2 linked regions of the Lytechinus pictus genome follow. Each later gene encodes a partner of the first gene's protein in a complex. Links are inferred from orthologs where the notes say so. Each region holds a gene or a part of one and is shown in the gene's direction. Other genes may lie near its edges. The genes, in order: RNA transcription, translation and transport factor protein-like; protein archease-like.

Region 1 (16,259 bases):
CCATACTAACCCCCAAAATAATTTATACACTGTTTATATTATCCAGTAGTAATGTAGAGAGGGGATTGAGATGATACAAGGCCAACTTGCAATCCCTCACATGCTTATAAGTGCAGCAGTCAACAGCATGAGTCTGTGCACCGCTAGTATGATTGGTTCTTGCTTACTTACTGCGAAACATATGCTTTGAAATGATAGTTTGTTATGTGTGAGATCGAGAGGCAGTTTACAAACCACATCGTTGATTATGTTGTCATTCTGGTGACCCAATTTCCAAACAGGCTCTCACAGACACTTTTTTTCTCTACCATAGAATAATTTTTTTTTTTGGGGGGGGTGGAGGTGGCAGAAAGAGTTAATTTCTGAGCGTATTTCATTCTTCATATTTGCTTTGAAGCAATAGAATATTTTTTTTGCATGATTTATTTTTAACTGTCTTATTCTAGCTTTCAGCTACCAGTAATATTTTGTGTGTGATATACATGTACATGTAGGCCTATTGATCAAGAATAATCTGAAAAAATGCGCTCTTAGAAAAAGGTGTTTTTCCCCTTAAATAAAAAAAAAAAATTTAAAAAAATTATTTAAAATTAAAATTTGACAATCAAAGTATCAGTCCGATATCATCCTACCTCCATATCATCCATGTAGTCATCTCATCTCTTCATCTGACACGTTTTTTTTTGCACTTGTAACCCCCCCCCCCTCTCTCTCTCTCCCTCTAAGTGCACCCTCCTCTTCTTGTCCATCTCCGTCCACCCTCTTTAATGTCTACTTTAAATGGGCCCCAAATTAAATGTTTTACACCCAGCTGAGCAATTATTTTGGGATCACCGACTTGTGAAATATGGCAACACTACAGGGGGGGGGGGCTTCTATGGGTAGCAGAAAAACTGATAATATACAAGATATCTCAATACACTGAACAGATTTTTTTACAAAAAAAAGAAATATTCTACATGTCATCACAATCATATCAAAAGGAAATCTTCATGATTTATGACCATGCCTAATCTATGGCTAATGGACCGACTGGCCTTTAGTCTTTACCTGTAAACAAATTGGACATTCTCACCCAGTGAATCCATTACTCTCAGCTAATCACATGACCAGTCACATGATATCACATGGCAGCTGCACTGTATGCACACACGTGCCTTAGCCGTCTCAATCTCTCACACACAAGGCCATGACTCATGAGGTCCGATCATACACATAAATCAAAATCATCATGGGGAAAGAATGAAAATAAGGTAGGGGCCTTTGACCTCTATGATGGGGTGACTATAATTTGTGCACATTTTAAAATTTATCATGAAGTTGTTTTTCAATCCAAAATTTCTCAGTTCACAAAAAATTAATCAAAATCATAAATTCCAAACGGAAGGCAAGATTCCAAAGTCAAATTAGCTTGACGGAATTACAAAAGTAGGCCAAGGGTTTCGCCGATATCGCGATCTCAAAATTCCATGACAATCGACTAGTGCGCGCTCGGCTGAAAAAGTGTCATTAAAAAATGTGATCTAAATTTGCGCTAGACCATTTTGCAAAGCTTTAGAAAATAAATCAAACATACAAAGGTAAGATAATTGTATCAGATGGAGGTTAAAATGCCATAAATTTGGTTGGTATAACATTTGACTTACTTATTTGGATACCTCTGCTTGCAAACTGGCGATTTCTTGATACTTGTCGAGAAGTTCAGATTTTATCGGAGCGCGTGCAAAAGGTAACAAAATTTGCTGATGTTTTGCCAATAATTTCACAAATTGAGACAGACCTTCCCTTCAAGAAAAGGCCATACTTAGTAATTTTGGATCGTTTTTTCTGTTGGTGATATCAGTTTTTCAATATATCAATTACATATTGAGATATTCGACCGTGCACATAATTAGGTAACGCGCGAATTAAGGTCACGTCACAACACCATACCTATCCCCTCGACCATCACGTCTAGAGTAGGTGGATGGATTAGGTACTTGTTAAAAACAGTTTCATGACATTTATTGCGGTGACAGACGACACCTCAAATATTATCAAACCATCCGTGTTTATTTACCAAGTTCGATGGATTCAATCACAGTGAAACCCAACCCGTAAGTTCCGCTGTTCCGAGCCAGATGTCAACTCGGCATGATTCAGTCCAGTAAACAATCCGAGCTATATTTACAGTCAGCTCCGAGCTACGGCCCGCGAAGCTTCGTGGAATCGTGGGCCGGAGCTCCCTGCCGGCTGCCCTGGGTCAACAGTTAGTATACCCAGTTGTTGTGTGTCCGGACGATCAAATTTAGAAAGTCATTTGGAAAAAATTACAAGCGAAGTTTCATCAATTTTTAGTACAAAACGTTAGGAAATATTATAAAGAACAAAACAGAAGATGATTACAAGTATTGAATTCATATTTTTAGTGTAATCCAAAGACAAAAAAGAAGGCTTCAAAAAGATAAAGTGTCCGGACACCCGACCCCCCATCCTATGGCTTGATTTTTCTGTGCGCGGTGCGGTGGCATGTAATGAACCCTTGAGTGAGCCCTTGGGCTTGGCTAAGTAAAAAGGGCTATTAAGCTAAGCCATGTAAGTAACGTTAAAGGGATGGTCCGGGCTGAAAATATTTATATCTTAATACATAGAGTAGAATTCACTGAGCAAAATGCCGAAAATTTCATCAAAATCAGATAACAAATAATAAGTTATTAAAGTTTAAAATTTAGCAATATTTTGTGAAAACAGTTGTCATGAATATTCATTAGGTGGGCTGATGATGTCACATCTCCACTTTCCGTTTTCTTATGTTATTATGATGGTGGGCCCCAAGTCTGCGCACCTAACAATTTGAGTTAAGATTTAACATGAATTTCTTCTTATTACACAAAATCTTTCAATTAATAATGTTGCTTACATTATTAAGAGTAAGTGTACCAAATTTCTCATTAAAAAATGAAAGAAAATATAGGATTTTCTTGAAAAAACCTCGGGCAGTCATTTTCAGATTGAAAAAAAAAATGATACCCCATGTCTGCGCACGCATTCACTTTGCACACGATTCGGGGATTTTGATGAGAAAGGCTGCATTTTGAGGCCGTCACATGAAATGCCCTAAATTCATTATTTTCCACCATTTTGAGTCGTGTTTTTTTTATGAATACCTGTCTATGTATTGCATGTTTAAAGTTCGTGCTCGTTGCGTATCTTCTTTTATTAGGATCGCGCAGATACGCGTGTGCGCAGACAAGGGGGACTGCGCAGACTTGGGGGAACTTGCCATACATAAAATCATAATTTTTTCATTATTTCATACTTGTGTGAATAATATGTCTCCCTATTTATAATGAAATAAGTTGCAGCAATAAATATATAATGCACTCAATCAGTTGTCAATCCAATTTGTCTAGTTCTTGGAGGAAAAAATTTGAATAAACTTAATTTCATATAATAAAATACAAAACTCAAAAGAACAAGTGGAGATGTGACATCATCAGCCCACCTAATGAATATTCATGATGACTGTCATGACTGTCAGTGTCAGACTGTTTTCACAAAATATTGCTAAACTTAAAATTTAAAAATAAAAATTCAATAACTTTGTTATTTGTTATCCGATTTTGATGAAATTTTCTACATTTTGCTCAGTGAATTCGACTCTATTTATTAAGCTATACATACTTTTAGCCCAGACAATCCCTTTAAAATGGCTTCGGCCTTTCGGCCTATACCGGAGTCGAGTGCTTCCATCGGGAAGCGATGGTTATCGCCCCCAACGAAAGAGGCGTAAGTTAAAGGCAACGTTCGCTAGCTCGACCAAGGCCGAGTGCGGCGAAAAGGGTGTCATTTTCAATCGATTTAAAACTCCTCGCAATCGTTAGAAAATACGTGATTTTCGAGAAAAAATATTTGAATTGTTAACAAATATACTGAAATATGAAATGACGACATCCATATCATACCTTCGCTGTAGAATTCCTAATAATACGAATATTATCCTTGAACCTGGCCCCCGAAAGTGGAAAAACGTAGATTTGGTGGATGACAAAATACGGAACCCATTAATGAACTATCGATGAGGGCGCGTCTACATTTCTCAGGAGCCAGCTGTCGGCTGCTATGCTGCATCAGCTCAGCTCAGCAAATAAAAGTTTGCTTTTTTATTTCTAATTTTTTTTTACTTAGGATGAATACACTGCTTGTTAATCTGTCATTTACTCAATCAATTTAACACCCTTGACCACAGTACCATTTGGGGTCACTACCCCCACGTCGCCCCCCCCCCCCCCGACAAGGAATTGCCTGTACAAATTATAGTCCCCCGCTTTTCAATAATGAATTGATTTTTTTAAGGACAAAGTACCGGTATACAAAGAACATGACTTTTTGTTTTAGAATTAGCAGTGGCGTACAGATAAGGGCCTTGGGGTGCTTGCCCCCCCCCCCCCGAAAAAAAAAAATCACCGGCCACCAAGAAAAAAGAAAAAAAAGAAAAGAGAAAATGGTCAAATATGATTTATATATTTTTAATGTTGTAATAAAGATGTCAAAACTTTTGCTCGCTCACTTCGCTCGGTCGCAATTTTTTGTGAATTTTGCCCAATATGCCATATCTCACCCCTCAAAAACTTTTGGCTCATTATGCCACTGAGAATTAGCGTATAGGCCCTATTAAACCCAAGTTCATTCGTGACGGAAAAGTTTTGTTTTACTTACTAAGGATACTTAGGGATTTATTTTTGTGCGTGTGCTGTTAACGATTGAAATGACATCTATCTTAATTTGTGAGGCATGATATCACCCACCTTATATTTTGTGGGAGTTCAATCATGTTCTGTTAATATTTGCTTGATTTTGCAGGTCCGACTGGTCGCTATGCAGGGACAAAACTGGATTCGAATCTATATGGAAACGTGAATTATCTGAAAATAAGTGGAAGTGCCTGGGCAATTTTGGTCAATGTCACTCCACAAAATCAAACTTATCTGTGGATATTTCGTTTCGAGAGGGAGGGAGGGGGGAGTTGGGTCAGTTTTAATCAGATTGATAAAACTATGCCTATGCCTATATAGGGCCTATAATTTTTTATGCCTAATGATTGCTAATAAACATGATAAAGATGATGCAAGGACTCGAAATTTCAAAATAAAAATGACGAAATGATTTTAGCCTTAAATACCAGAAATGAATTTCCTATGTCTTGTCGCTCTAACAATAATGACCAGTAGCTTGCTATTGTAGTTTTTGCACTGATAGTGTATGTATATTCAGTCCCCGGATACTGTCAGTTTTGGAGATGTGCATATGGTATAGAAACGAGTGGTATTGACCCGAACACGCCTGTCCTGGGCACCAGGGGACACCCGGACTGCATAGAAGTTATTATTTTGTTAATTTACCATGCAATTGTATTTTTCACCAGGGTCGGATCCAGGATTTTCCAAAGGGGGGGGGGCAATTTTTTCGGAGGAAAAGCAGTACCCGAAAAAAAAGTCTTCACCTCTATTTTAATGGAATTTTTACATAAATTTTTTTTTAATTTGCTTCTCAAAGGGGGGGGGGGCACGTGCCCCCTGTACCCCCTGGATCCGCGCCTTTTTTCATGGAATCCTTGATTTTGATTAACTATTGAGTATGGACCCGGAGTATGGAATCCATTTAGTTACCATGGGATAGCAAAATTGCCATAAACGTCCGAATGAAATAGTGAAAACACTTCTATCGGGATTATTTTGATTATCCAAAATGAATAATCGTGGTATGGAAGTTTATTTTTTTTAACCAGGTGAAACAATATATACACAACAAAAAAGGTAAGTCCCCCCTTGAACAAACATCAATAATTTCCGAACCAATGCGAGTTTTTGATATATTTTTACATGAGCGTGTATAATTTTATAAGCTACCCTCTGAGTAAATGTTATGGACGTATTTTACGTCATGCTTCAGTGAGCACCGTCAGAAGGCAAAAATGTCACTTTTCAAACGTCACAAGCCAAAAATCATGACTCATTTCCATTTTATTGGAACTGATTCCACATTCTCATCTTGAAATATTGTCAGAAGGCTTGTAAAAGGTACTTTCTAAAAGACGATACAATATTTTGGCTAAATTTCACGGTTGAATAAACACAAGTCCAAATTTGCTATAATTGGATTTTTTACACATTTTCATCAATAAAAATGATAGAATGTGATGACAGTAATTTTTGGGAAGAGTATCTTCAACACTATTCATCGTTTCACGGTTAAAATGAACATTTATTGAAAACAAAAAATACGATTTTCAAATATAATAGGCAAGTATTGTTTCATTTTGGTAACTGAAACTGATCTTTTATCAACTTTTTTCATGACCAATTAACATGCTTTAATGATTCATAGGCGTTTAATTAAACATTCACGCTTGAATGAACATGTGGAATGTGATTAGCTCTTTTTTACGTTATTGGAAAAAATGCAATTTGTAACGATGGATATCTGTCACAAACCTGGTTCATTTGATTAGATTTTCATGAAAATCCCGATGTTTAATCCATCAGTGAGCACACAATATAAAAAAATTATGCAAATGAGAAGAAAGTTCAAAGCCTTGGCCCCACTCTGTGCCGTATCGAATTGTTATTGTGGTGTGCGCGCCTGTTGGATAGTGTTACTCTGAAGCGATGTGCGAAGTTTCATGAAATAACTGTTAGCAGAAGTAACAAAAACCGTCCATGAAACAAACCCCTTATTTCATATTTGTTAAGATTTTGACTTCCTCTCTCATAGACTTGTGTACATTATGGGTGCATATGTTTAAGAATAAGTAACCCCTTATTTAATATGGTGGAACTTTTTTTCAAGGCTGTCTTTAGCAATGTCATTTGGCAGTAATGTTTATCAACCTATGGGTAGAATTCTGTGCAAAAATGAAATCGATTTGTTTATTTACGGATGAGTGAGCACGCATCAAAGTGGCAAAATGGGTATTTTCAATGTCACAGACTCATTTTAAAGGGTAATAAGGTGAATATTGGGGGGCAAATTCGGTTTCAAATGTGACTTTAATTGCTGTTGTTTTTATCATCCATCATTTCTATCACCACACACTTTCCGAACTTTTAACATTTTTCATGGTTGAGCGAGCACATTCGAAAACTTAGGAATGAATACTCTTTATACTGCATAAATGTATTCTTTTCGTAACAATTTCTCATGATCAGTTTAATTTATGGACAAATCAGTGGTGGATCCAGAATTTAAAAATGGGGGAGGGGGCTATAATCGGGGGAGCCACCAACATTTTTAAATTTTAATATGACCTAACAAGTTGTAGAGGATACTACCAAAAACCCCTATAATGATACGTCACAATACAGGGGCCGCGGAACGGTTTTCAAAGTGTGGGGGGGGGGGTGCGCTGACCATGCATAAAATCACAATCGTATGGTCATTTTTACATTTTTGTACATGCTTTTGGAAAAAAAAGTGGGCCCCCACCCCGCTTCCGCGGCCCCTGCGGTATTGTGCTCACTCAACCATGAACATACGATATCAAAATTGTGTGTGGAGTGGCGAAGTGATGGATAGTAAAACAGCATAACACCATAAAATTCACCTAAAAACAACTTTTGCCCAACTTCGTATTTGCACAATCTGAAAAACGACCCTTGTCACTTTCAAAAATGGTCACCTACGAGATATCATATCTCAAAATAACTCCGTTCAAAAGTTACAGCAATTTGATTTAGGGGGGACTTACTTTTTTTGTTGTGTATAGATGAATGGAGGTCGGCTATTACATCAAATTAATTACTTAATTCAATTCAATTTTTTACGGTCATTTTTATTCAAACACAATACAAAGTAGGCCCTAATAAATCAAATACAAATATAAGGACGGACATCAAAGAACAGCAGATAACATAATTATGAAAATCAAACTACTATACTGCATAATATATGTGCATACATTTAGGCCGATGTTTGAAGTCAATATTGGAAGGATTGGTGGGTTACTCCGGTCCAGTACTGCAGGCCTACAGCTCGCTCCTTGACACTTACATATATATTTTTGGAGATGATATATCCTTTTCTTTATCAAAACGTGCTTTGTTCAATTTTGCTGGTTGAAATATTCAAAATTTGGCTAGCTCTTCGCGCTCACAGGCGGGCCCTATCCATCCGAGAGGCATGATACATAAAGTGCTCAGAAAGTAAAGTTTTCAGGTCTGATCAAATATAGTTTTAAGCCTGTGCTTCGCGCTCGCATTTCGATTGGCGAGATAATTTATCCTCTTCAATAAGTACTGAGGCCAACTGAGGCCCCTTTTTAGCTCAGCTTTGAGCTCGCATAATTTAGACAAAATGAGATACCGCGTTTGTAAGAACAAAATATTTTGTACTTTGATCTCCAGTCTTTAGTAAAACAAAAAATGAAAAAATAAACAAAATTAGCAAACAACAAAATCAACTTTTAGCACCCGATCGGGGAAAATGAGGGTGAAAATCCCCCCCATTGACGAAAGCTGGATCCGCCCGGACGCCCCTGGAGTATAGTATGTTACCATGTTGGGTAGAGTAGAGCCACTGATCTGTATTCTGGGGAGCGTTTCATGAAAGGACTTGTCGGACGTTTTATCCGACAAGTCCCATTTTATCCGACAGTTACCATAGTAACAGTACCTCTCAGCCAATCAACATCAGAGAAAGATGTCAGATCTGACAACTTGTCGGATGAAAATGTTGATGAAACACTCCCCAGATCTGTGAGTAGTATGTCATAGAGATATTGCGTTTTTAGATTGGAGTAGAGCAAAGGAAAGTAAATAAACGTAAAGTAAAGTAAAGATGCAAAAATCAAGCAAGTAGTAGGTAATACAGTGAAATGTCAATTTTTTTTAGCATAGGGAGGTCAGTCGATGACACGACCCAACGATTGACTAATTTTTGACTGGGGGAAAAAAGAGAAAATTCCCAATTGTAAAAAAAGAAAGAAAAAAAGAAATCCGACAATATTTTGTCGCAAGCTGGCGCTCGACCGATGAAATCGTCAACGCGAGTTACGAGTGCAGTGCTGTCGATTCAGTCATAAGAAGTCATACAATTATTTACTTTTACCAACCTGTTTTAATCCATATTCTGTCATTTTCACTTTTAATATGTTTAGGAGAAAGCTGCAAGCGCTGAACTATCCGCAGCCGGATTGCAATGTTTGTGGTAATTATTCTGATTCGCTTGATAAATGTCTCAATGATATTAAAAACCCTTTTTCTATCTCGGTCCCACATGTGAAAAGTTTTGTTGGATATTGACAATGTTATACAAATAATGCATGCAGCCGAGTGCGTTAGTGGAAATGCAGAGGATGCGAGGTTTCTTTAGTCTTTTTTTAGATAGGTGCTGCACTATGCACGAGCCGCTGAGGGGGAGTGCCCAGTGTGCACCACCTGAAGAAACCAAGCTTTTTCTGCATTTACTTTTATGCACGACAGATCAAAGTGCATTATTTGTTTTATAAAATAGCAACACAAACATGACAAACAAATTCTTAAAAAGTTTCAGAATTCAGTAGGATGGGGGGGGGGGGGGGGGGGGTCGGGTGTCTGGACACTTTATATTTTTCAAGCCTTCTTTTTTGTCTTTGGATTAGGGCCTACACTAAAAATATGATTTCAATAATAGTTGTAATCATCTTCCATTTTGTTCTGTATAATTATAATAATATTTCCTAACATTTTGTACTAAAAATTGATGAAACTGCTTTTAAATTTTTCCAAATGACTTTCTAAAATTGATCGTCCGGACACACAACCTGTCCGCTGTCCGGACACACAACTGGGTATACAATTTTGTTGGACTTCTACCGCACTAGTCTGCTTGAGCGTGCAATGTCAATTTTCGTTGCGCACCTTTTGCACTGCCGTGCAGTGCACAAAAAAAGTTGGATGTCATGTGACGCATATTGGCCAATCACGATGCTTGAAATAATACACCTATTTTATAACATCAAATAATTGCATTGCCAATATAAATTGCCTCAAGTGGCGTGGTTTGGCTTGCCCTGCCTTAGCCGGCCCTGAGGACTTCGTGATGATATTTTCTAATAGTTTGACATATACTTATTCACTACGAAGCCTTGAAACCCTTGCCATAGGCACATAAATTTGTTTGATTTTATTTATCTACACTGTATAGTATGCCTAATGGCTAATGCGTATGAAGGTGCAAAAAAACAGAATAAATGTGAAAAATTAGAGGTTTCTTACCAGACCGATCTCGTGTAGATCCCTCGATTCATTCGTAAACACCGCACAAGAATAGGCTTGACCCTTGAACATGTTGAACCGCTTCGTTTCGACGTAGCTTCGATAAGCGGTGTGACAAAATGCCGTTTTGAAAAACAATTTATAGATAAAAATTATTATTTAACAAATAAAAAAATTTGAAAGTTGATTATAATAATTATTATTACAATAGTAATTATTTATAATCAAGTTTCCAATTTTATTATTTTTGATAAATAATAATTTTTATCTCTTTTTTTCTCTCTTTTCCACCTTGACTGACAGATGAGAATAAATGGCGGAATCTAGTTGAATGGCTAGAAGATCAGAAGGTTCGCTTGTATAAGATTGAAGATAGAGCTGCTCTAAGGAACAAGAGCAGCACGCAGTGGCCAAAAGCATTCATTAAAGTAAGACCATTAGTCTTGATTGACATTTGTCAACATAATACAATAAATTCATTCTATGTAATTTCAGTTGAGAGTAGTTATTCACACAGTGCCTTGTTTATGACTCCTAACTATAAAGATCAGTAAATATTTGTAAAAGTATGATGATGATGGGGATGAAGATGATGAAGGAGATGATGATGACAATGATGAAGATGATCGTAATGATGATGCTAATGAAGCTGATCCAATCGATGATGACGATGATGATGGTGATGATGATGATGACAGTGACGAAGATGATAGTAATGATGATGCTAATGAAGTTGATCTGATTGATGATGATCATCATTATCATCATTATCAAACACCAACAACACTCAACAATATTTATTATGATGATGATAATGGTGGTGATGATAATGATTGATGATGATTATTAATACTAATACCAATTATTATAATGATGATAATGACTAGGCGATAGTATCAACAACTGCAACTCTGACAATGAAAATCTTCCTTGTTTACTTTTCTTTACTGTACCTCTACATTTTCTTTTCAGTATATCCAAGACTTACAATGTCCATTGGATGGCAGTGATAGATTGGCAGTGTGTGATTGGATTCTTGGTCATGCCGTTCGATTGGAGTATGGAGAAAAGGGTAACACAAATTCCTCTCTAAATGATGAAAATAAACGTATCAATTAGACTGGGTGGGTGTTTTGTAAAGCCATTACCCACAGTGACACAACATGTGCTCCTGGAACACTTGTCTTAATATTTCAGATTAGAGTAAGGTTAGGTTAGAGTTAGGATTGTAACAGAGTTTTTGGTTCAGAATAATGTAACAATAAGGATTAGGGTTTATTTGGTTTTTTGAGGTTAGGTTTTATGTTTTGCTTAACGTGCAGAATTTCCATCGGAGCAATTGATGCAGGAGCAAATGTCAAATTTGAATATTAACATACCATTTTCACAACTCACGACCGTAATGATGCACAAAACAGCTTGGATTAGAAGGTTTAAGAATTGGGTCAGTGCATCAATCCCCTATGGGAAGGCATTAATCCTCAATACCAGGTCCCTTGAATAGGACTTAAAGACAATGGTCTCTTAGTTGCTTGTACACTGGCCTTGATTGTATCTGAGCTGTCTTGAGAAATTAACAATTTTACTGGATGTTTATTTTTATCTTACAGCACAAATTTATAAAGGAATAGGAGCACCATCTAAGACTCCTTCAGGAACTATGGCGGAAGACCCCTTTGCAAGTATTGATGGTAAAAATCAAGAACTATTAAGTGATAGGCTATGATTGGTTGAAATCAATATCGATTGTAGAAAACTAGCACTGTCTCAGTGCCGTTTCTCAGAAATGCGCGCTGCTCGGGGCACAGGTGTGAATCCAGCTTGTAATCCAGATTGTAATGCACAAATATTACACCCCCTGAAATTGTATTGTATCTAACCCAGCTTGACCCGCTACCATTGGGGGGGGGGGGAACCCTGACTTGCTTTTCATAGAGGAGATTGAGTTTGATCAATCACAACTGTCTTTATAGAACCTAAAGACTTTTATGAAGTACATATTTCTTTTTACCATTTTGTTTCTTCATCAGTAGATGAACCCATACTTTACTTTTCCTTTTCATGCCCCTGCAGACGAAGTCCGGAGGGGGCATTAAGCGTTGCCCCTGTCCGTCCTTCCGTCCGTCCCCCACTTGGTTTCCGCGCAATAACTCAAAAATATTTAATGGATTAAAAAAAAAATTTGGTGTGTAGGTAGATGACACCAAAATACAGGCTAAGTTTGAATTCGGAGTCCGCAGGTCAAAGGTCATAGCTCATTAAATATGCGAATTGGTTTCCGCGCAATAACTCGAAAAATATTTAATTGATTTTAAAAAATTTGGGTGTGTAGGTAGATGACACCAAAAACAGGCTAAGTTCGAATTCGGAGTCTGCAGGTCAAAGGTCACAGCTCATAATATATATAAAAGTTGGTTCAAAGGTCTAAATTTGTTCATTATATATATGCATATTGGTTTCTGCTCGATATTAAGTTCAATCATATTGAATGAATTTCTGACCGCGTTAAGCGGGGGCATCTGTGTCTTTTGGACACGCCAAATTTCTAGTCTTAAATGGATACTCCAAACTGAAAATGATATAACTTTAATTTTCAGACGAACACAAAACACTGAAAACTTCATTTTGAACGGCTGTGTTCAGATTGTGCACATGAGCGAGTAATGAATGAGAGCAACCATGTTTTATTTCCTACAGTTTCTAGTCCAAATGTGAAGGTGGGCCTGGTATCCTTGTGTTCACTACTCAAGATTCCCAGACACGTGGATCCTATTGTGACTTTGGAAGCCATTGCTCTTCTCATCAAAGACAGACTCTCCGATGATGCACAGGAAGGGGTACTTGAAGAGGTATTAGACAGATTTCCAGTGATTGAACTGTAACATAAGAATGTCATTTTCTATTTATGCACAAAAATATGTACAGACAATCATGTAAATGACTAGGCCTGAATTCAGGAAGGTGAATTCACTTAACCCATGGGTTAAATTTTGTCCTTTGACATCATGGATTAAATTTAATCCCTGGAGTGTTACTTAACCCATCTTTTGTGAAGTGATCATTGATTTATAACTCACACGGTTAGTTGACCCATTATTTAGCTTGGGTTAACTATAATCCACAGGGTAAGTTACCCCAGTTAAATTAGTTCAGGTCAAAAAAATTTAACACACCTTTGTGAATTTGGGTATTAGATTTGAGTGGTTCTTATAAATTGAACTGATTTGAATGTACCATTCTCTTTCAACATACTCACACAAGTCCTTGTGCAGTCATGTAAGGAAACTTCCAGTTTGTCAAAGTTTAATTTACAAATATGTGTGGAATGTGACACCTGAATTTAAGTCATAATTGACATTGTATATATTTCCCCTATTTTGTTCCATCTCAAAGCTTTTCATGATGTATTCTCACAATTGACTGAAGTTAGCAACAGAAATATTTGCTAATGGTTGAAATATAGCTTTAGATTGTATGGATTGATAACTAATTTGAGTTCATCATGGAGGTAAATTGCCAAATTGTCTACTGCCAACTCGTCCACTCACCACATGGTCTACATTCATTTAGTCTAATTCCATTCCATCCATCAATATTTCATCTAACAACCATTTGAGCCAATAACCATTTGGTCCAATAACCATTTGGTCCAATCGTCAATTCGTCTAATCACCATTTCGTCTATGACCATTTCGTCTCATAACCAGTTGGTCTGATATCCATTTTATTTTTATTAATTTTGCACAATTAACACTTAGTCCAATTAGACCAAGTGGTATATGGCTATTGGACCAACTGGTTATTCAACGAAATAGTGAGTGGACGAATTGGCAAGTAGACTATGTGGATAGTGGACGAACCACATGGTCTACATTCATTTAGTCTAATACCATTCCGTCTATCAACATTTCGTCTGACAACCATTTGGTCCAATCATCAATTTGTCTAATCACCATTTCGTCTATGACCATTTTGTCTCATAATCAGTTGGTCTAGTATCCATTTTATTTTCATTCATTTTGCACAATTAACACTTAGTCCATTTAGACCAAATGGTATATGGATTAAATGGCTATTGGACCAACTGGTTATTAGACGATATGATGAGTGGACGAACTAATGGTAGACCAAATGATAGTAGACGAGTTGGCAATTGGACGAATTGGCATTAGACCAATTGGAAATAAACCATGAATATGCTTCAGTACTTTGATGAGATCAAAGCGAAAACACAAAGGTGGTTTTGAAAACCCACGGTTGAGTCCATGGTTTATGCAGATTTCCTGTATAAATTATGCTTATTTTACCGCGTATATTAGAAAATGTCCAATGCTGTTGCGCGCTTTTGACACAGTGCGCCATGGCTAAGTACGCTATTTTATTAATGAGTCCACTGTTTTGAATTAATGAGTTCACTCTTCAAACAGTGGACTCATGAATAAAATAGCGTATCTAACCATGGTAACGGGTATCAAATTGGCGCACTGTGACAAAAGCGCGCATCAGCATTGGAATTTTTTATACACGCGTTTGATACGTGCTAAATTAAGCGTAATTTATACAGGAAATCTGCATAAACCATGGATTCAACCATGGGTTTTCAAAACCACCTTTGTGAATTCGGGTCAAAGAGGTTCCATGATGTCTGATGAGACTGGTATTAATTAAGGTGCTACATTTTTGTGATTGAAATTTGGCAAAATTCAGAGTTAAATTTAATCAATGCTGAGAAAAAGTGCATGTTTGCTGATATGTTACTATGGTATACGCTCCTTATTCCAAAAGAAGCAGATTGAATGTACTAAGATGTTTACTGATCAAAAAATGAAAATTTGTGACATAATTATAAAGGTTTGTTAATCGGAAACGGGAATAGGGTTTATCATGTTTAAGGTTTATCGATCCAACAATATGATAATGTTTGTTATTCCGAAGGTTCATTAATGAAATTAGGTTCATTATTCGCAAGGTTCAATAATCCAAATATGAAATAATAAGATTTGTGAGTACAAAAATAACTGATGAACTGTACAAATCTTGTTTTCTGACTATTAAACCTGTGGAATAATGAGCCTTATTTCATTTGGAATATTGAACCTTTAAAAGAAATGATCAAATTAAAAAAAAGTCATCTGATAATTGTTTTCTTAGCCCATTTGTTACCATTTTGATGATTGAAATAATTGCATACCTTTCGTGTTTTTATTATTTTAAAAATATTTTCACATTGCAGGGGGTGGAGGTGGACCTCAGCGAATATGAAGTAGGATTCGATGCAAAAGGTATGTGCCTTTTTCAATATGTGCATTTCATAATACATATGTATGCCACCAATATTCTTTATCATGAGAGGCTCGTTGGTGGATCACTCTTTCTTACGACATTCAAAATAGCAAGGGCAGTGAGAGAAAATTGCAAAATCAAAGAAAAATGAAAGATAAATCCCAAGCGCATGGAAGATTAAGGATAAATCAATAGAACTACAAGTGTGATCCCAGGAAAATTGCAGTGCTTATATGGAGTTTTCGATCACTTTGAACTTTTCCCTCAAAATGTTTTAGTGTCTCCCTTTACAAATAAAATTATAGGCGACTTTATACTCTGGAATATTATACAGTTTCTAAAAATGTAAGTTTAAAGACTAGCTATTTAAAACACATTTGATGACAGACCTCCCTGTGTCGGTCAGACCGAAGAGGCATAGTCTAAGTGGAATTTACAAAATGTTAAAGAGCTAATTGTAAAAGTAATCCCAAATAATTCATTTGATTGATTATAACTACAGATGAAATGGGATCACATTATGTTGAAGAAGATCCAGTGGGCATTAGACACAAATATGACAAGAACAAATGATAATTCACTTTTCTAATTTTTTTCTCTGTAAACTTTACTTTCCTTCATTATCTTTCTCTATAATTCATAGATCCAGTTATGAATGATGCCGGAAGGATTTTACGACTTCTTCACATCAACGAATTACGAGACCTTCAAACTAAGATCAATGAAACAATAGTTGCAGTCCAG
Region 2 (16,641 bases), on another chromosome or scaffold:
GCAAGGTTTTCAGAAGGGTAAGATGAAAACATATCACTGTGAACTTGACCTTTTGACCTAAAAATCAATAGGCTTCCTGGGATCCATGATATGAGCCTATATAAGTTAAAGGAATGGTCCGGGCTGTAAATATTCATATCTAAATAAATAAACAAAATTCTCAAAGCAAAATGCTGAAAATTTAATCAAAATTGAATAACAAATAAAGAAATTATTGAATTTTAAAGTTTATCAATATTTTGTGAACATCGTCATGAATATTCATTAGGTGGGCTGATGATGTCATGTCCACACTTTCCTTTTTTTAATGTTATTACATGAAACCATAATTGTTTCATTTTTCCATACATGTGTAAATGATGTGTCTCCATTATGATGAAATAAGTTGCGGCAATAAAAAACTTATGCACTTAATCAGTTGTCAATCCAATTGTTTTAGTTCTTTGTAGAAAAAAAAAAAACACCTAATTTTATATAATAAAATACAAAAGAACAAGTGGGGATAAGACATCATCAGCCCACCTAATGAATATTCATAAAGACATGCCTAGAACTGTTTTACCGGAATAATGCAAATCTTTAAAATTCAATAACTTAAAATTATTTGTCATCTGATTTTGATGAAATTTTCAGCATTTTGATCTGTGAATTTTACTGTATTTATTGAGATATAAATATCTCCAGCCTGGACCATCCCTTTAAACTACAGTTATCGCGTTTACAACTTGGACTTCAGAAGGGTAAGATGAAAACGTGTTACTATGACCTTGACCTTTGACCTGTTCATGTTGACCTCAAAATCGATAGGCTTCCTGGGATCTACGCCAGTATCATACACACTAAATTATATGAGCCTATAGGTCAGGCTTGCTATTTAAAGGAGAATGAAACTCTTGGAGCAAGTTAGCTTTTGTGAAAGCAGAAAAATCAAAGAATAAGATCAACAAAAGTTTGAGTAAAATAGGACTAGCAATAGAAGAGTTATGAGCATTTGAATGTCGAGATCACTAATGCTATGGAGATCCTCCTTTTGGCAATGCGACCAAGATCTATGATGTCACTGATGAACAACTCTCCCCTTTTGGACACTGAAAATATACCCCAAAACATCTCTTTTTGCTCATTCTAATCATATGACAAAATGATTCATCAATGATATAATGTTGTGAAACCTCTGTACTTGTCCTCTCATAAAGAGAACACCTCACCATGTGATAGACTCTATAAAAGTGAGAATATAAGTGAAATAAGTACTAAAGTAATGAGGGAGTTGTACGTGTGTGACATCACAGATCTTGGTCGCATTGCCAATGGGAGGATCTACATGGCATTAGTGATCTCAATATTCAAATGCTCATAACTTTCTTATTATTCATTCAATCTTCCTAAAATTTCCAACAATATGTTTCTTTGATTTTTCTCTTTGATATGGATTCAGCTGGTTTCAAGGGTTTCATTCTCCTTTAAGTTAAACTGAAGTTATCACGTTTTTTTTTTTATCGCGGTTTTCAGAAGGGTAAGATGAAAACATGTCACTATGAACTTGACCTTTTGACCTCAAAATTAATAGGCTTCCTGGGATCCATGCTAGTATCATACACACCAAACTATATGAGAATAGGTTAAGTTAAACTGACGTTATCGCGTTTACAAAGAAAAGTTAACAGATGCCAGACGGACAGATGAACATTAAGCGTGATACCATAATACGTCCCGTAGGCGTAGGATGGGCACATAAAAAGAAAAAGAAGCTACGCGCACTGCAGACAGTGCGCGTAGCTAGCTTGCTTGCCCCCTTTTCGATCCCATAACGCATTGTGGTTCTGATTAGCGATAAAAGTTATTCAGTATTTTGAAAATTATCTTGTGGAGACTGATTAATTACGACTCTATGAGACTATGACCAGACTCTGAGTCTAACTAGCCAGGAGGCTCTTAGAGAGTAAAAATCTTTTCTTTTTTTCCCCTATTGTTCTTCCCCATCGATCAGCGACCGATCGCATGCGATGTTTTGAAATCGGCCGTGAATAATACGTGTGAGGAAAAAGATACTGGCCCAAAATCACCAATTTTGAGGATAACCGGAGGATGGACACGGAGTGAAATACGGGTGTAGAGTAAGATATTAAGTCATTCATATCCCTCGTTATAATTTTTTTCTTTAATTTTTACGATGATTGCCATCCCACCTTTTATGACTCGGAATATCCGATCTAGTTCACTGTCCCGATGTTCGGGTAGGTGGAGCGTAGTGTAGCGGTAGTGAAGTGGAGCCTGCACGAACATCGCCTGAGGTAATCCCATACATGATTAAGGGCTAGATCTTTTAGAAAGTAGAAATCTCGGGGGCGAAAGTTTGAGGTTTTTTGGCGGCACGTGTAGATGAACGCAATCGAATCCCTGGCTCTGTGGAGAGTAAGCATACGTTAGTCAATGATTTTTACTCTCGAAGAGCCTTCTGGCCTGGCTAAGTCTAACCTTAGAATCTACCAGAAATTAGGTATGTTACAAAAGCACCCTCTAGATGCATTCTGAACGAGACATTGAGTGTGCTGCCTATAACCACAGGTTGACTGTAGGGGCATTGCTTTGTATTGTGTTTGCATGTGCAAGAAAAGGTTATTCCCCATGACATCATTGTTTTTACGCAGTTGAATGTCTATGGCAGCTGTCTAGACTTGAAAAAAATCTCCCTCGGTGATCTTGCGACTCTGTGTGCTACTGGAACTTAAGTCTTGCTTTCAACCTCTTGCTATTCTTTACAGGTATCATCCCACTCTAAAAGGTATTCATTCCGATAGAACATTTCAACAACTTTGTGGTGAAATTTGAAAGAAATCTACCGACGCTCAGTGTGTTTTTTATGTCCCTGTTTCGGCGACGTCTGTAATTTTGGGGAGTGTTGTTGTGCACTTCCGTATGCCAATGTATGCGCATTGTTGTTTCCTAGTATGGCAAGTTCCCCCAAGTCTGCGCAGTCCCCCCGTGTCTGCACACACGCGTATCTGCGCGATTCTAGTAAAAGAAGATACGCAACGAGCACGAACTCTACACATGCAATACATAGACAGGTATTCATAAAAAAATCCGACTCAAAATGATGGAAAAATAATGAATTTAGGGCATTTCATGTGAAGGCCTCAAAATGCAGCCTTTCTCATCAAAATCCCCGAATCGTGTGCAAAGTGAATGAGTGCGCAGACATGGGGAACCATTTTTTTTTTCAATCTGAAAATGACAGCCCGAGGTTTTTTCAAGAAAATCCTATATATTCTTTCATTTTTTTTGTGAGAAATTTGGTACACTTACTAATAATAATATAAGGAATATTATTAAGTAAAAGATTTTGTGAAATAAGAAGAAATTCATGTTAAATCTTAACTCAAATTGTTAGGTGCGCAGACTTGGGGCCCACCATCATATTAAAGGAGAATGAAACTCTTGGAGCAAGTTAGCTTTTGTGAAAGCAGAAAAATCAAAGAATAAGATCAACAAAACTTTTAGTAAAATAGGACTAGCAATAAAAGAGTTATGAGCATTTGAATGTCGAGATCACTAATGCTATGGAGATCCTCCCATTGGCAATGCGACCAAGATCTGTGATGTCACACACGTACAACTCTCCCATTTGGACACTGAACATATACCCCAAAACATCTATTTTTGCTCATTCTAATCATATGACAAACGATTCATCAATGATATAATGTTGTGAAACCTCTGTACTTGTCATCTCATAAAGAGAACACCTCACCATGTGATAGACTCTATAAAAGTGAGAATTTAAGTGAAATAAGTACTAAAGTAATGAGGGAGTTGTACGTGTGTGATATCACAGATCTTGGTCGCATTGCCGTTGGGAGGATCTACATGGCACTAGTGATCTCAATATTCGAATGCTCATAACTTTCTTATTATTCATTCAATCTTCCTCAAACTTTCAACAATACGTTTCTTTGATTTTTCTCTTTGATATGGATTCAGCTGGTTTCAAGGGTTTCATTCTCCTTTAATATAGTGCGTCTTGGTCCCAATTAAGGTCCCAACTTTTGTTTTAAAAAACAAAGGAATACAGTCATAAGAATTGGATAGGCGATTTGTACGAACTTAAAACTACCATAACTTTCTTGTTATACTGGGGCTATTGAAATGAATGAGGTATTAAATGAAAGGTCTTGATGAGATCTAAAAACTCATTTCTCAATTATTTTTTTTGTAACATATACGGTACACCCACGCTACAGAAATAGACCCTAAAAGTAAAAGTCCCTGGCCTAGTAGTAGTACTACTACTAGTAGTAACTACTCTAGTTACAATTAAAGTTAAAAAGACAATTGTCTGGATACCATCCAGCAACCCTGGAATTAAGTATTTCTTTTATACAAAAGCTATCACTGCACTTTTTGGAGTGTGCGTTTAAATGTTGGAAATTAAAAGTAGCATGTGGCTTGCAGTGCAGTGCAGCTTCAACCACATGCACATTCACACACCCCACAGACGTCACATTATTCTTCACACACAACTGCACACTGTTAGTCTCGTGTGTGTCCACTCAACATGTGCCAGCTCAAAATAATACAGATAAAATTCGATTGTTAAATTCCATTGCAAAATTTCTTTGGATCTAAAATAGATAGTCATCATGCTTATGCTACAAAGACTTTACATGCTAACTGTCATTACCAAATCTGATCTGGTTCTTAGTTCATCTGACAATTTTGGTGACGTGATGTGAGATTCCCTCGTTTGGTTTGGTCTTGGACTTGGTTTGTTGTTCGCCGATCTACTGAATGTGATTTGCGCAGGCGCGTTCTGTATGGCTAGCCAAAAGGAACAAAATTTGCTCTGATAAAACCAACACGTATAGAAAAAGAAAGAAAAGAATTGAAGTTTAAGTAAAAAAAAAATACACGACGATTCACCTTCAGTGCCTGGTACACAGATGGAGGGAGGGGGAGGGGCGCCCCCCCCCCCCAAAAAAAAAAAAGAGAAAAAAATCACGACCAAGGAAAATAAGAGAAAATTAAGGAAAGAGAGAAAGGTAAATTTTCTGAATATTATGTCAAAATCTATCACAAAATTGGATTTTTGTCAATAAAAATGTTAGGCATTGCTGTGCACGTGACAGTGCTCGCTCAATTGTACATTTTGCCAGATACTGGCCCCCTCAAAATTTGTGGCATAAAGGGCACTCTCTCTCTCTCTCTCTTGTATCCTAGCTAGCTAGCTTCCTCCATTAAGGTCCGACCGTTGATTTCAGCTGAAAGTATTAAACTGAAGATAATTTTTATTGGTTGTTAGAGCTTAAATGTGGTTTAGTATAGGCCTACGTTGTGTGAAGATTGCGGATGAAGTATACATGAAGCTGAGTTTTGCTGGCACTGTTGATGCAAATTTTTTTTTTTAAAGCATATACCCCCTCTAAATAATCATACGTATGTGTCTGAAATGTGGCCAGCCGGCTGATCCAGGGCCGGTGCCTTCTTCAAGGTTCACTCTCCAGCGTGTACGCTTTTTGGGAGAGTATACCTCTTCAAGGGAAGTCCGGCCCGCGTCCCCCATCCCCGCCCCCCCCCCCCTTTGAGAGACATAAACAATATTTGTAAAGGGTATATGTCGTGCAAACGCAAGTGAGGACCCTTATTTTTTTGCTTGCCAAACGTTTCCTGGAAAACAATGATTTCCATTTTGTCAAAGTTTTTCTTATAAATATTTTTGGGAGACGAGTGATCGAAGACCCCCCCCCCCCCTGTTTTGGAAATCTGGATCCGTCCCTACATGTGGAATCAGGGGCTGCAGAACGTATTTTCTTTTAAGTCAAGGCAAAAAAAAAGAAGGAAAAAAACGCACTGTGAGGACCCTTATTTTTTGGGCTTGCCAAACTTTTCCTGGAACAAAATGATTTCCATGCATTTCGTCAATTTTTTTCTTATAAATATTTTTGGGAGTGAAGAACCCCCCACCCCCTCTTCTTGGAAATCTGGATCCGTCCCTACATGTGGAATCAGGGGCGACAGAACGTATTTTCTTCGGGGTCGATCCGGCAAGGCAAAAAAAAAAGCTTGTGTTTAAGAGGCGCGATAGCTCAGTCGGTATATTATATAGAGCGGGGGTTTCGGATTCCGGTGACCCGGGTTCGATTCCCAAGTGGTGCGCTAGTGCCCTTTGGTAAGGCATTTATCCTCATTACCAGGTCCCTCGGAAAGGACCTTAAGCCGTTGGTCCCCTGGTTGCTTGCTCACAGGCATTCTTGCTTTCTTAGCAGTCAGGTAAAAACCTCGGTATAACATAACATAACATGTCAGAAGGGGATTTGGAGTAAAAACAGAGGCATGCATGCATGCACTGTGTTTTCGCCTGAAGTATCTGTGTCTTTCGTGGAGATGTAAGCAAAACGCTTTTTCCATAGGATATTTTTAATAATTGAAATACAAAGTAAAGTATTTATACAAGTTGTATATTCTGAGAGCGAGCGGTTTATGATCAATTTGAAATCTTAACTCGTAGAACTTACTTTGTAGTCTATTCTGGCGCTAATAACAACTCTGTATATTTTGGGTATATCATAGGCCTATAGAATTGTTTCCCTTGAAATGATATAGACTTATATTACGCATGCTTGTTGACAAGAATTTACCCAATAATATAGTATATAGCTAGGCTACTATATGGCCTACGTGCCCTTTCAGGGCTTGAAAAGAAAAGAATTAGAAAGTAAATATTTTACAATATGAAATACATAACAAATAACAGCTCGACTTTTGACAGTAACAAAAAACGCATAGATTCTTTTAAAAAGTGTTACCTCACATAGGCCAGATTATTTTGGAGGCATGTAGGTCGTGACACTTCAAAGAAAAGTCTAACATTCTCTGTTAAAGTTGTTTTTTTAGTTATGTGTATCAGACAGCATATATATATATATTTGTGACTCTATTTATTGTTAGAAATGTTAATATATCATTGTAACTTATGTTCGATAATTTGTAAAAAAATTGTTCATTTTATTTTGATTGTGATCATTTATGTTTGGATTTCAAATCAATAAAAATAAACTTGAAACTTATAATTGTGTCTGGGTTTGTGTGTTTTGTATTGGGACTGTCGTGGGCCGGGGTGTTGAGGCCGCCCATTACGGTAGCCACCTATCCTCTATATACATGGGCCAAAATCCCAGGGGGGACAGGGGGACACGCCCCCTACCATTTGGAAAGGGGGGGGGGACACATTATCAAATGTCCCCCTACTATTTGTGGTCTTTTATGATGGAAAAAATACATCATTTAAAATCAAAATTTGTAATAGAATTTTTTTTCTCCAATTAAGTGTGCCCCCCCCCCCCCATTGAAAGTGATACCCTTTTTTGTGCTTGTCAAATTTATTTTGGACGAAAATACCATACATTTTGGGTGATAATCTTTTTTTTTTGCTTTTCAAATTTTCCGGGGGGAAAGTCCTTCATCTGCGCCTGGTCCCCCCTACCTTTGGGGAGAGATATCCGCCCATGTCTATCCCTGTCTATACAGGGGCCGGGGAAGCTGAAGCCCCCCCCCCCCCACTTTTTTCCAAAACCGTGTACAAAAACGTAAAAATTACCATATGATTTTGTGCATGGTCAGCCCCCCCCCCCTCACTTTGAAAACCATTCCGCGGCCCCTGCTATATTCTACCGGCGTATAAGCCCTATAGATGCAAATCTGTTTAAACAGAAAATATTGTAGTGCAATGAATCTTGTTCAAAATATTGGGACTAAGTGTTCGAGTTTTGTTTGCGTATATATTTGCTTCACTTCCTCGTAAATTTAAGGAAAATTTCAGGAAAGAAGAAATCCTTATGGGATTCTTATTTAATTTTGTTATAAACGGCCGCCCATAGTTTGCCATTGTTATTGCATGTGCAGTCGAGATTGTTGCATAGGGTTGCGAAATTTGGATTTTCACGTCGATCATGAACCCCGGCGCGCGGCCCGAGCACTGGCCCGATTCATCACTAGCACTGTGATGTGCCGTACCCATATTATATTGCTTCAGTAATTGGGCTTAACCAATCCGAAATTAAAACCCAGTAATAGTTAGCGTAGTACCGGTGTTAACATTTTCTCAGCTCTTATGTTACGTTGATGCTGTGGCTGCTGAGAAAAAACAGAAAAACGGTGGTAGTGTAGGAATATAAACGAATAGACGGAATTGTGGAAAACTAAAAAAATTAAAAGACAAAAATAACGATGGAGTCAGATGCCACCACCGCAAAGCTGGAGGAGCGAAAGGAGCTTGAGGACGCCGCCGGAGATACCGGGGCGACTTCGACCCCGGGAGACGCAGATGCTGCTGGATCCGAGTCTGCTGGGCCTGTGGACTTTTCTGAAGAACAACTGCACGTATTTGCTGGTCATCAAAAGGGAAACTATCCTCTATACGCAGATGATAAACCAGCCGGTGGTATAAACTATGAATGTAAGAACCAAAAAATAATTTTATAGTGTTAATTTGGGGATCTGACTTTACTTTACTCTTTAGACTTTACTTTAGTTTAGCTACCGTAGCTCATTACAACAATTACACTCAGTAGGGCACTCGTTCAATCAATTAACAAGGTTATTGCAGTGCTTGTGCGTGACAGAAATTTGGGATGGATCATCCCAGTTTACAGGGACTGTCTCAGTTTTCAAAGATTTCTCCGCACAAGAATTCTAGGAAAGTTCATTCACCTATCAGGTGCCGACACCGATCAAGTGCGCTAGTCACCTAGTGGATGTATTTCACCTCGGGTTTCATTATTACACAAGATTACATTGGAAGATGGCAAGTCATGAAAAATAGACGGTGAACTGGGGGGAACTGCATGAGGTCACTAAATCTCTTTTTATAGCACTCTCAATCCCTGTAATTGCTGTCTCCTTCAGGGGTTAGTGAAAAAAAACTTCCCATAAACAAAGACAATCCCAATTTATCAAGACATGATTTGTCTTGGTCTACAGTATGAGGATTGAGGATATCCTTGTTTTCTGGGACAATCCCAATTTTTGGATCAGCACCTCTACTGTTTGCAAGATTATCCACAACATTACTAAGCTTGCCAAAGCATAGTCATAATAAATTGAGACGTACATGTAAAACAGTAATTTCATGCCTTTAACTCTTTTACCTTTCTCCTCTTGAATATTCTTTTCCCTCTATTTATATCCTCTTCAGTCTTCATTTTATCAATCTATAAAAATGTCCCTTAGCTAGCCAAAGCCTTCAACTGTTTATGTCAGAAATTTTGTGATTGTTCCATAGACCTCTATCACCATAATTATTTTTTTTTCATTTCAGATTTGGATCATACTGCAGATGTCCAGTGAGTGATAATTTGTCTTTTTCATTTTTTTCATGGTCTTTAGTTACAGCAATAATACAGGGCTCCAATTTCTTTTTTTCTTTTTTTCATTTTTGGTTAGTACCGTACTCAGTGGCGGACCGTGACTCGGAGGAGACAAAGCATTGGGGGGGCACAGCATTGTTCACAGACAATGCAGTGCCCCCCCAATGCTTTGTCTCCTCCGGTTCACGGTACGCTACTGACCGTACTGTAAGTTTTCTTTTTCCCTACCATATAAAGGTTAAGAATGCATGCTGTTTAGTTCAAAGCCATGACTGAGTTCAAGTTTTCAGGAGCATTCTGGAAAGATGGGAAATAATTTTTTTTTAAATGTATTCTGAAACCCTATTTATTCAGCTTTTATGTTAAATATTACATGTGTATATGCTATGATATATTTTTTTTAATGCCCCCCCCATCCATTTATTGCCCTCAAATCAATAAAAAATCGAAATCATTTACTTGCTTGCTCCTGAATTTAAGTAGACCTTGCCAGCTTACCTTTATCTTTAAATATGGTTTTGAACTCTTATTTTACTTTCCATTATTTTACTTAAAACTTTTCTTTTATCTTGAACTTTGTGCCATTTCCCCAGATGTTTTCTTAGTCCTTATGTGTACAATAACATTTTTTATGATCAAACTCTATTATCAGTATCAGTCATATTAAAAAAAAGTCCAGTGTTCTAATGTTAATATCTTGTGACATTAAATTAGGGGTAATGTTTATGACAGATCAAAGGTTGGAATTTATTTAGTTCCTTTTCAAGTTGCAATAATTTTGCTCTTTTTTTAATTTCTTTTTTCTTTTGCAGATTACACTCTTGTATCCTTTATCTTATGATCTACTATATTCACCTTATACAAATAATTCATTATAGGCATTGTGATATATATATATGATATGTCTATAAGCCATTCCTGAAATAATTCCATTATAAAATATTCAGGGTAAAGCGAATCATATGATTTTTAAGGATCCCAAATTTTGAAATATATGCCCTGTAATATAATTTTATAATGCAACCCTCTAATATGCAATCACTTATTCTATTAAAATGTGTAAAGTTGGTTTTGATAAAAGCAGAAAAAACATAAGAACCTACTGGTGAAAATTTTGCGAAGTCCAGATCAAAGATTTGGTAGCTCTCTTATTGACCGGATGTCATAAATTCAATAAAATGCCATTTTTCTTAGAAAATTGAAATTGATTTATTTGTGCATTCATGTCATTAGATATGTCATTATATACCCACTAAAGCACATTCAGTCATCATGAATCATAAAAAAATGGAAATTTATTGAATTTATATCATATGACATCTTGGGCTGCTGCTTATACATGTAAATTTCAGAACTCTTCCATAGATTTTTGTCAACCTACACCAATATTTTCGTTATTTTTTCCGTTGAAATTATTAAAACACATTTATCGTCAGGGTTAACTGCTCATTTTTAGAAGCATAACTGCAAGTCTCTGTGAAACTAAAAAAAGAAGAAAAAAGTACAATCAACTGTCAATAATATGCCAATTCTTTGTTATACCACCCCCCCAAAAAAAAATACAATAAATGAAATCAAATGAAGTTTCAATGTTAGCTAGGTGCCTTGCTCCTTGGTTAGGATGGTGCCTGTCATGTATGATTTTTCATGTAATTTAGAAAGAAAAAAAAAGAGGTGAAAAATCAGAAGGGAAAGGGGAAGAGAAAGAACTAAAAAAAGAAAGAAAGAAGATTACTGGAAAGAGGGCATGAGCATGGTCATGGAACTATAGATATATAGTTCCACATTTTTTTTTCAATAAGAAAAAAAAAGAAAGAAGTCCTCAAATTTAGTTCACCTCCCTTCCCCCTATCAGAACCCCCCTGATCATGCAGCCCCCTTGCTGGAAGGGTAGTTTGAGCCTCCTTGTAACTCTGGTTTTGTCTTCCAATACTACTGTACCTGAAAAAAAATATGTGCATGCAGATGTGTGCAATAGTTTGTTTCAAATTTCCTTAGCAGAAATTTGATGCAACAGGGGGTCCAACACTCAAGGATTCATTTGAATCGGTGAGTACTAAAAATTTTTCATGATGCAATTTATCGACATTTATCATTACCACTTCAAAATTTACAATATCTGATAGGTAGTACATGTAGGTCTGAGAGGCCAATGCCTGCAAAATCATAGGAGTCTACTAAGTGAGCATCCATCCTAAATAACAAGTTATTTTTATCAGAAGAAAAAAAATCAGACAGGTACATGGGTGAAAGTTTGGACAAAATCGGACAAAATATGAGAAAGTTATGAATTTTTAAACGTTGTAAAAAATTGGTAATCACTATACCCATGGAGACTTCAAATTGGCCACAATGGTGATGTCATAGTTATGTGAGGCAAGGACTACTCTGCTATTTACTCCAATACATACAATTGTGAAATTGTCGCTTTTTTCAAAAGTTTTATTTCAAACTATATTTTTCTTTCATGAGGCTATCAAACCGTTATGCTTCATTAGTTATATTTGGATTACTGCCCCAGGGGAATGGGTACTTAAGAGGAAACTATAAATCCCTTATAATTAAGAACATGGCCTGTGGGAAAGTTGTCCTTCCCACTTGTCATAATTTACTTAGCCAGTTGCCAATTTGAAATTTACATAGTCTTAGGAATCTCAATTTTAAAACAGTCATAACTTTCTTATTGCTTGTCTGATTTCTTTCAAACTTTCACCATTCTGTTAAACTTATTTTTCTCCTTTCCCACACAACATTTTATGACCAAGGTTGGCTCAGTTGGGCAAGGCTGTGGTGGAGAGGGGGAGGGGGGGGGGCTTAGCACAGACCATGATTGAAATTTCAATCAATAAGTGGGTTTTGAAAGAAGTCTAGCTTAAGGTCGCAAGTGGTGACAAAGCATTAAAATTTTCTATGTACATTGCATGTCCAGACCCACAATTGTAAGGAGCTTGGTCTTGTTTGTAGAACAATGTGCCTTTATCCCACTTCCTACCTGCCCACATTTAAGCATACATTAAACATTGAATGATCTTTCCTCTATTTCGATCTGCCCTTATGCAATATTTGCTCCACTTTGAGACAAATGAGCTTACTGGTTTAGTCTACAAGCTCTGAGTATTCTCAAATTGATTTCAAACTATATGACCCATAGATTAAAGTTTTCCTTCATGTACATGTATGTGTATCTGGTCTTAAGAGTTTGAAGACCATGAGTTTGTTAAACCCTGAATTAAGTGGGAGCAAGCTTGACTCGGGGGGGGGGGGGGAAGCATGTGCCCCCTTTTAGCCCTTCTTATTTTTTTTAATTTTTCTTTTTTTTGTTGGGGGCATGTCCATGAAATGTTACACAAAAATGGTCTCCACAAGTCTTTTTTTTTTTTTTTTTGGGGGGGGGGGGGTAGCTTGTCGATTTTTTTAAAAGTGCCCCCCCCCCCCAATTGATAAATCCTAGATCTACCCCTAAGTGGATGGATAGGAAAAAAGGTTGGTAGAAGTTAGTTTTTACTATTGTGACATACAAAATATACTTTAAATTTTGAGAAATTTAAAACATCGCTGATTTTTTTTCCATTCATTCTGGGGGTGTGGTGTATAGGGGAGGGGGCCTACATGTAGGACAAAAAGTATTGAAAGTTAGGTTGGAAATCAGATCTCAGAAATTTGAATAGGCAGTATTTGGTGCATGGAAATACTGCTCCTTAAATCAGTGAGAGCTGTCAAACAACCAAAATATTATCCCCATCGGACAAAAAGTAATTTTTGTCTCGCCTGCATAGCAGAGCGAGACTATAGGCGCCGCTTTTCCGACGGCGGCGGCGGCGTCAACATCAAATCTTAACCTAAGGTTAAGTTTTTGAAATGACATCATAACTTAGAAAGTATATGGACCTAGTTCATGAAACTTGGGCATAAGGTAAATCAAGTATTGGTGAACATCCTGCTCAAGTTTCAGGTCACATGACCAAGGTCAAAGGTCATTTAGGGTCAATGAACTTTGGTCAAGTTGGGGGTATTTGTTGAATTACTATCATAACTTTGAAAATTTATGGATCTAGTTCATGAAACTTGGATATAAGGTTAATCAAGTATTAGTGAACATCCTTCCTGAGTTTCAGGTCACATGGCCAAGGTCAAAGGTCATTTAGGGTCAATGAACTTTGGCCAAGTTGGGGGTATTTGTTGAATTACCTTCATAACTTTGAAAATTTATGGATCTAGTTCATAAAACTTGGACATAAGAGTAATCGAGTATCACTGAACATCCTGTACGAGTTTCAGGTCACATGACCATGGTCAAAGGTCATTTAAGGTCAATGAACTTTGGCCGTGTTGGGGGTATTTGTTGAATTACCATCCTAACTCTGAAGTTTATGGATCTATTTCATAAAACTTGGGATATAAGACTAATCAAGTATCACTAAATATCCCCTGTGAGTTTCAGGTCACAAAACCAAGGTCAAAGGTCAGATAAGGTCAATAAACTGAGGCCATGTTGGGGTAATTGTTGAATTGCCATCATAACTTTGAAAGTTTATGGATAGAGTGAATGAAATGTGGACATGGGTGTATTTGACAAGTCTTAAGTCACCGTTCAAATGTCATCTATGGTCAATGAACGTGGTATTATGTCATTATATGAATGGTGTTTTTGTGAATGATTATTTTATAGTAGTTTTCAAAGTTAGCACTGCTGCTATATTAAATTGCGTAATGCAGGCGAGACTGCCAGAGGCGTTCCACTTGTTCTTAGTTTCGGGGGCTACTTTTTACTACCTTCTACCTAAATCTGAAACATTGGATAAGCATTATCGTGAATGGGAATTTTCCAGGGGAAGCATACAAACAGGACTAAATAACTCTTCCCTGATCATCGAGATGAATTTGTTTTTGAGATCTAGTTTGTCTGGGCGACTGTTCTCCCATGAATTCTGTATGATAATAGTCTACACTTCTATTGACATAAGCGCGCCCACTCTCTGGCATGCTTTTGTCACATAACAATAAAGGAGTGTTTGTGTTGGAATATGATGCACAATGGAGGATGCGTTTGAAAAACCCAATCGTGGGGGATCACTCCAGGGTGAACTTACTTACATGTATGGGTTTTATATTCAATTGGCCTTCTCATGAATTGGCAATGTGGTCTACATGTAATTGTCATTGGGTCTACCCTATACTTGGTTTAATACCCACATAGACTACTGTAACTCTGATATGCTTTTCACACTGCACTTTTTTTTCTTAAACCCAGGGAAATTGGTGGGGCAAAGGGGGGGGGGGGTCGGGTCTTATCCCCACCAATTTCCCGGGGTTAAGCTTAGCCCACTTCGTTTTCACACTACGTTTTAGCAAAGTGGCTATCACGGTAATTAGTACGGTACCATCTGACCGTGCAAACAAGCAGGGTAAGCCGGCTTATTGTGGTGCTAGCACCACAATTGCAATGCTAAGAGATGCAGTGTGAAACAAAACTGGGCTAAGGAAAAGTGGGGCTAAGCATTAGCCAATCACGTCGAAACTCAAGCCAAAATTGCATGATAATCATGCTTTGTATGGTAAAATCATCAATATTCATGAGCTGTGTGATAGTTTGGGGTTAAGGCATTAACCCTGGCTAAGCAAATAGTATGGGGTTAAGAAAGACAGTGAATCCACGAAAATATAGTATGAGGTTAAGGAAATGCAGTGTGAAAAGCATATAATTCTCATGTAGTCTACATGTACTGTAGTACCGAGTTGGTCTAATTTCCACTTCATTTACTCATAGCCGAAAAAAATACATTTTATTTCACTACACTACACATGTATACATGATCAATTTTTCTGTATAGAGCACATTGTATGCATGATCTATTTTTTGAAGAAATAACCAGTTGTCTCACGATGTATCAAACTATGTTTGATACATCATGAGACAACTGGTTATTCTACTCAATCCTTAACCACGATGAACCTCTTCCATATCATCGATCTATTTTTTTAAGGATTTGTTACTGAGAATTGTTCTTTATTAGATAATTGCCTCAATACCATCAGTCATGAAATGAAATGATTAAAATCTGTACTTTGTTTACAAAATATAATTTTTTTTCTTTTAAGACCACAGTTCTAGCACTTGATTCATTTCTGATCATCATCATCCTCAAAATGTAGTGTATAATGAAATTCTGTGTATATTAACCCTGACAGGTAGTGCAAGCAATGTTTGATTACATGACTGACATCAGATGTGTAGAGAGTACCATAAATCAGGAAGTTTCAGTTGAAGGTATGTTTTTTTTCAATAATTAATAATTTTAGGGTATGTCTTTTTTTTTTTTTTTTTTTTTTTTTTGGGGGGGGGGGGTTGTTTGAAGGGTCATCCCTTTATCGTCAGGGGGGGGGGGGGCATAATGGCCTGCACCTCACTATTTTTTGTGATATATCTGTAACTTTAGAGGTTTGCATCTCAATATTTCATGACTCTTTCAGTTCAGTTAATGTTAGGAATGCAATAGAGAATATTTACACCAAAAATTAGCATTCCAGGAACTTTATTGAACACTGAATAAGAGCAACAAGTGTAATTTCATGTATAAATGTAGATTAGCATAATAATAATACATAACATTTATAAGGTGCTTACTACTGGTGTTTCTAAGCGCACTGTGTTCTGTGGGATTACCGGTAAAAGAAAAGAAAACAATGTAGCAGGGGAAAATGACACAGCTAATGAACCTATAGGCCTACTATTAATCAAGAATCAAAACTGGTGTGCACCTCCAATTGACCGACCCACAACCACACAATAAATTCATATAAAATGTAATATATATAGATTTAGTGAAAGTTAGCTATTTATATGTAACCCTCATAGTTAGTCATTTTCTAGCATAGTGTGAATTTTGCTGCAATCATGCGTTCTGCGGACAAGATCTTAAAGGGCCATAATCCGCTACCCCCTCCATGACTATTGGGGGTTAAGTTGAAATCTCCAGGTTTATGTTCTCTAAAATGCAAATTCCATATTCTTTGGTGTTCTAAACATCAAATTCTTCATTCTTTGATAACATACTGTACATAAAACACAGGTTGAAGTTATTATAAATAAATAGTGAATATGTCAGAAAATCTAAGTTTCCATTCGACACCCTGCTGAATGCAGATAAAAGCTTGGTGACATGCTAAATACTGTGAACAGGTTGGATCTGCGGATATGCATGAGTTTGTACTTTGTTTATTGGATTTTACATGATTTTAACTGCATTTTTTTGTTCTTCTATTTTTTTCTCCACTC

Evidence for each region.
Region 2: RNA transcription, translation and transport factor protein-like (region 1) and protein archease-like share a complex: the UniProt entries of both Homo sapiens proteins name them as parts of the tRNA-splicing ligase complex. The link is inferred for Lytechinus pictus from reciprocal best matches to the Homo sapiens genes RTRAF and ZBTB8OS.

Annotation. Positions count from the first base shown.
Region 1 is NC_087251.1:34,069,199-34,085,457, reverse strand, and holds the start of RNA transcription, translation and transport factor protein-like, read left to right. Parts: upstream 1-8,974; 5' UTR 8,975-9,125; coding exon 9,126-9,183; intron 9,184-10,535; coding exon 10,536-10,660; intron 10,661-11,204; coding exon 11,205-11,304; intron 11,305-11,842; coding exon 11,843-11,923; intron 11,924-12,929; coding exon 12,930-13,081; intron 13,082-15,465; coding exon 15,466-15,514; intron 15,515-16,158; coding exon 16,159-16,259. UniProt on the Homo sapiens protein: RNA-binding protein involved in modulation of mRNA transcription by Polymerase II. Component of the tRNA-splicing ligase complex and is required for tRNA ligation.
Region 2 is NC_087245.1:38,766,783-38,783,423, reverse strand, and holds the start of protein archease-like, read left to right. Parts: upstream 1-8,136; 5' UTR 8,137-8,226; coding exon 8,227-8,455; intron 8,456-9,316; coding exon 9,317-9,341; intron 9,342-10,177; coding exon 10,178-10,188; intron 10,189-11,382; coding exon 11,383-11,414; intron 11,415-15,554; coding exon 15,555-15,633; intron 15,634-16,641. UniProt on the Homo sapiens protein: Component of the tRNA-splicing ligase complex required to facilitate the enzymatic turnover of catalytic subunit RTCB. Together with DDX1, acts by facilitating the guanylylation of RTCB, a key intermediate step in tRNA ligation.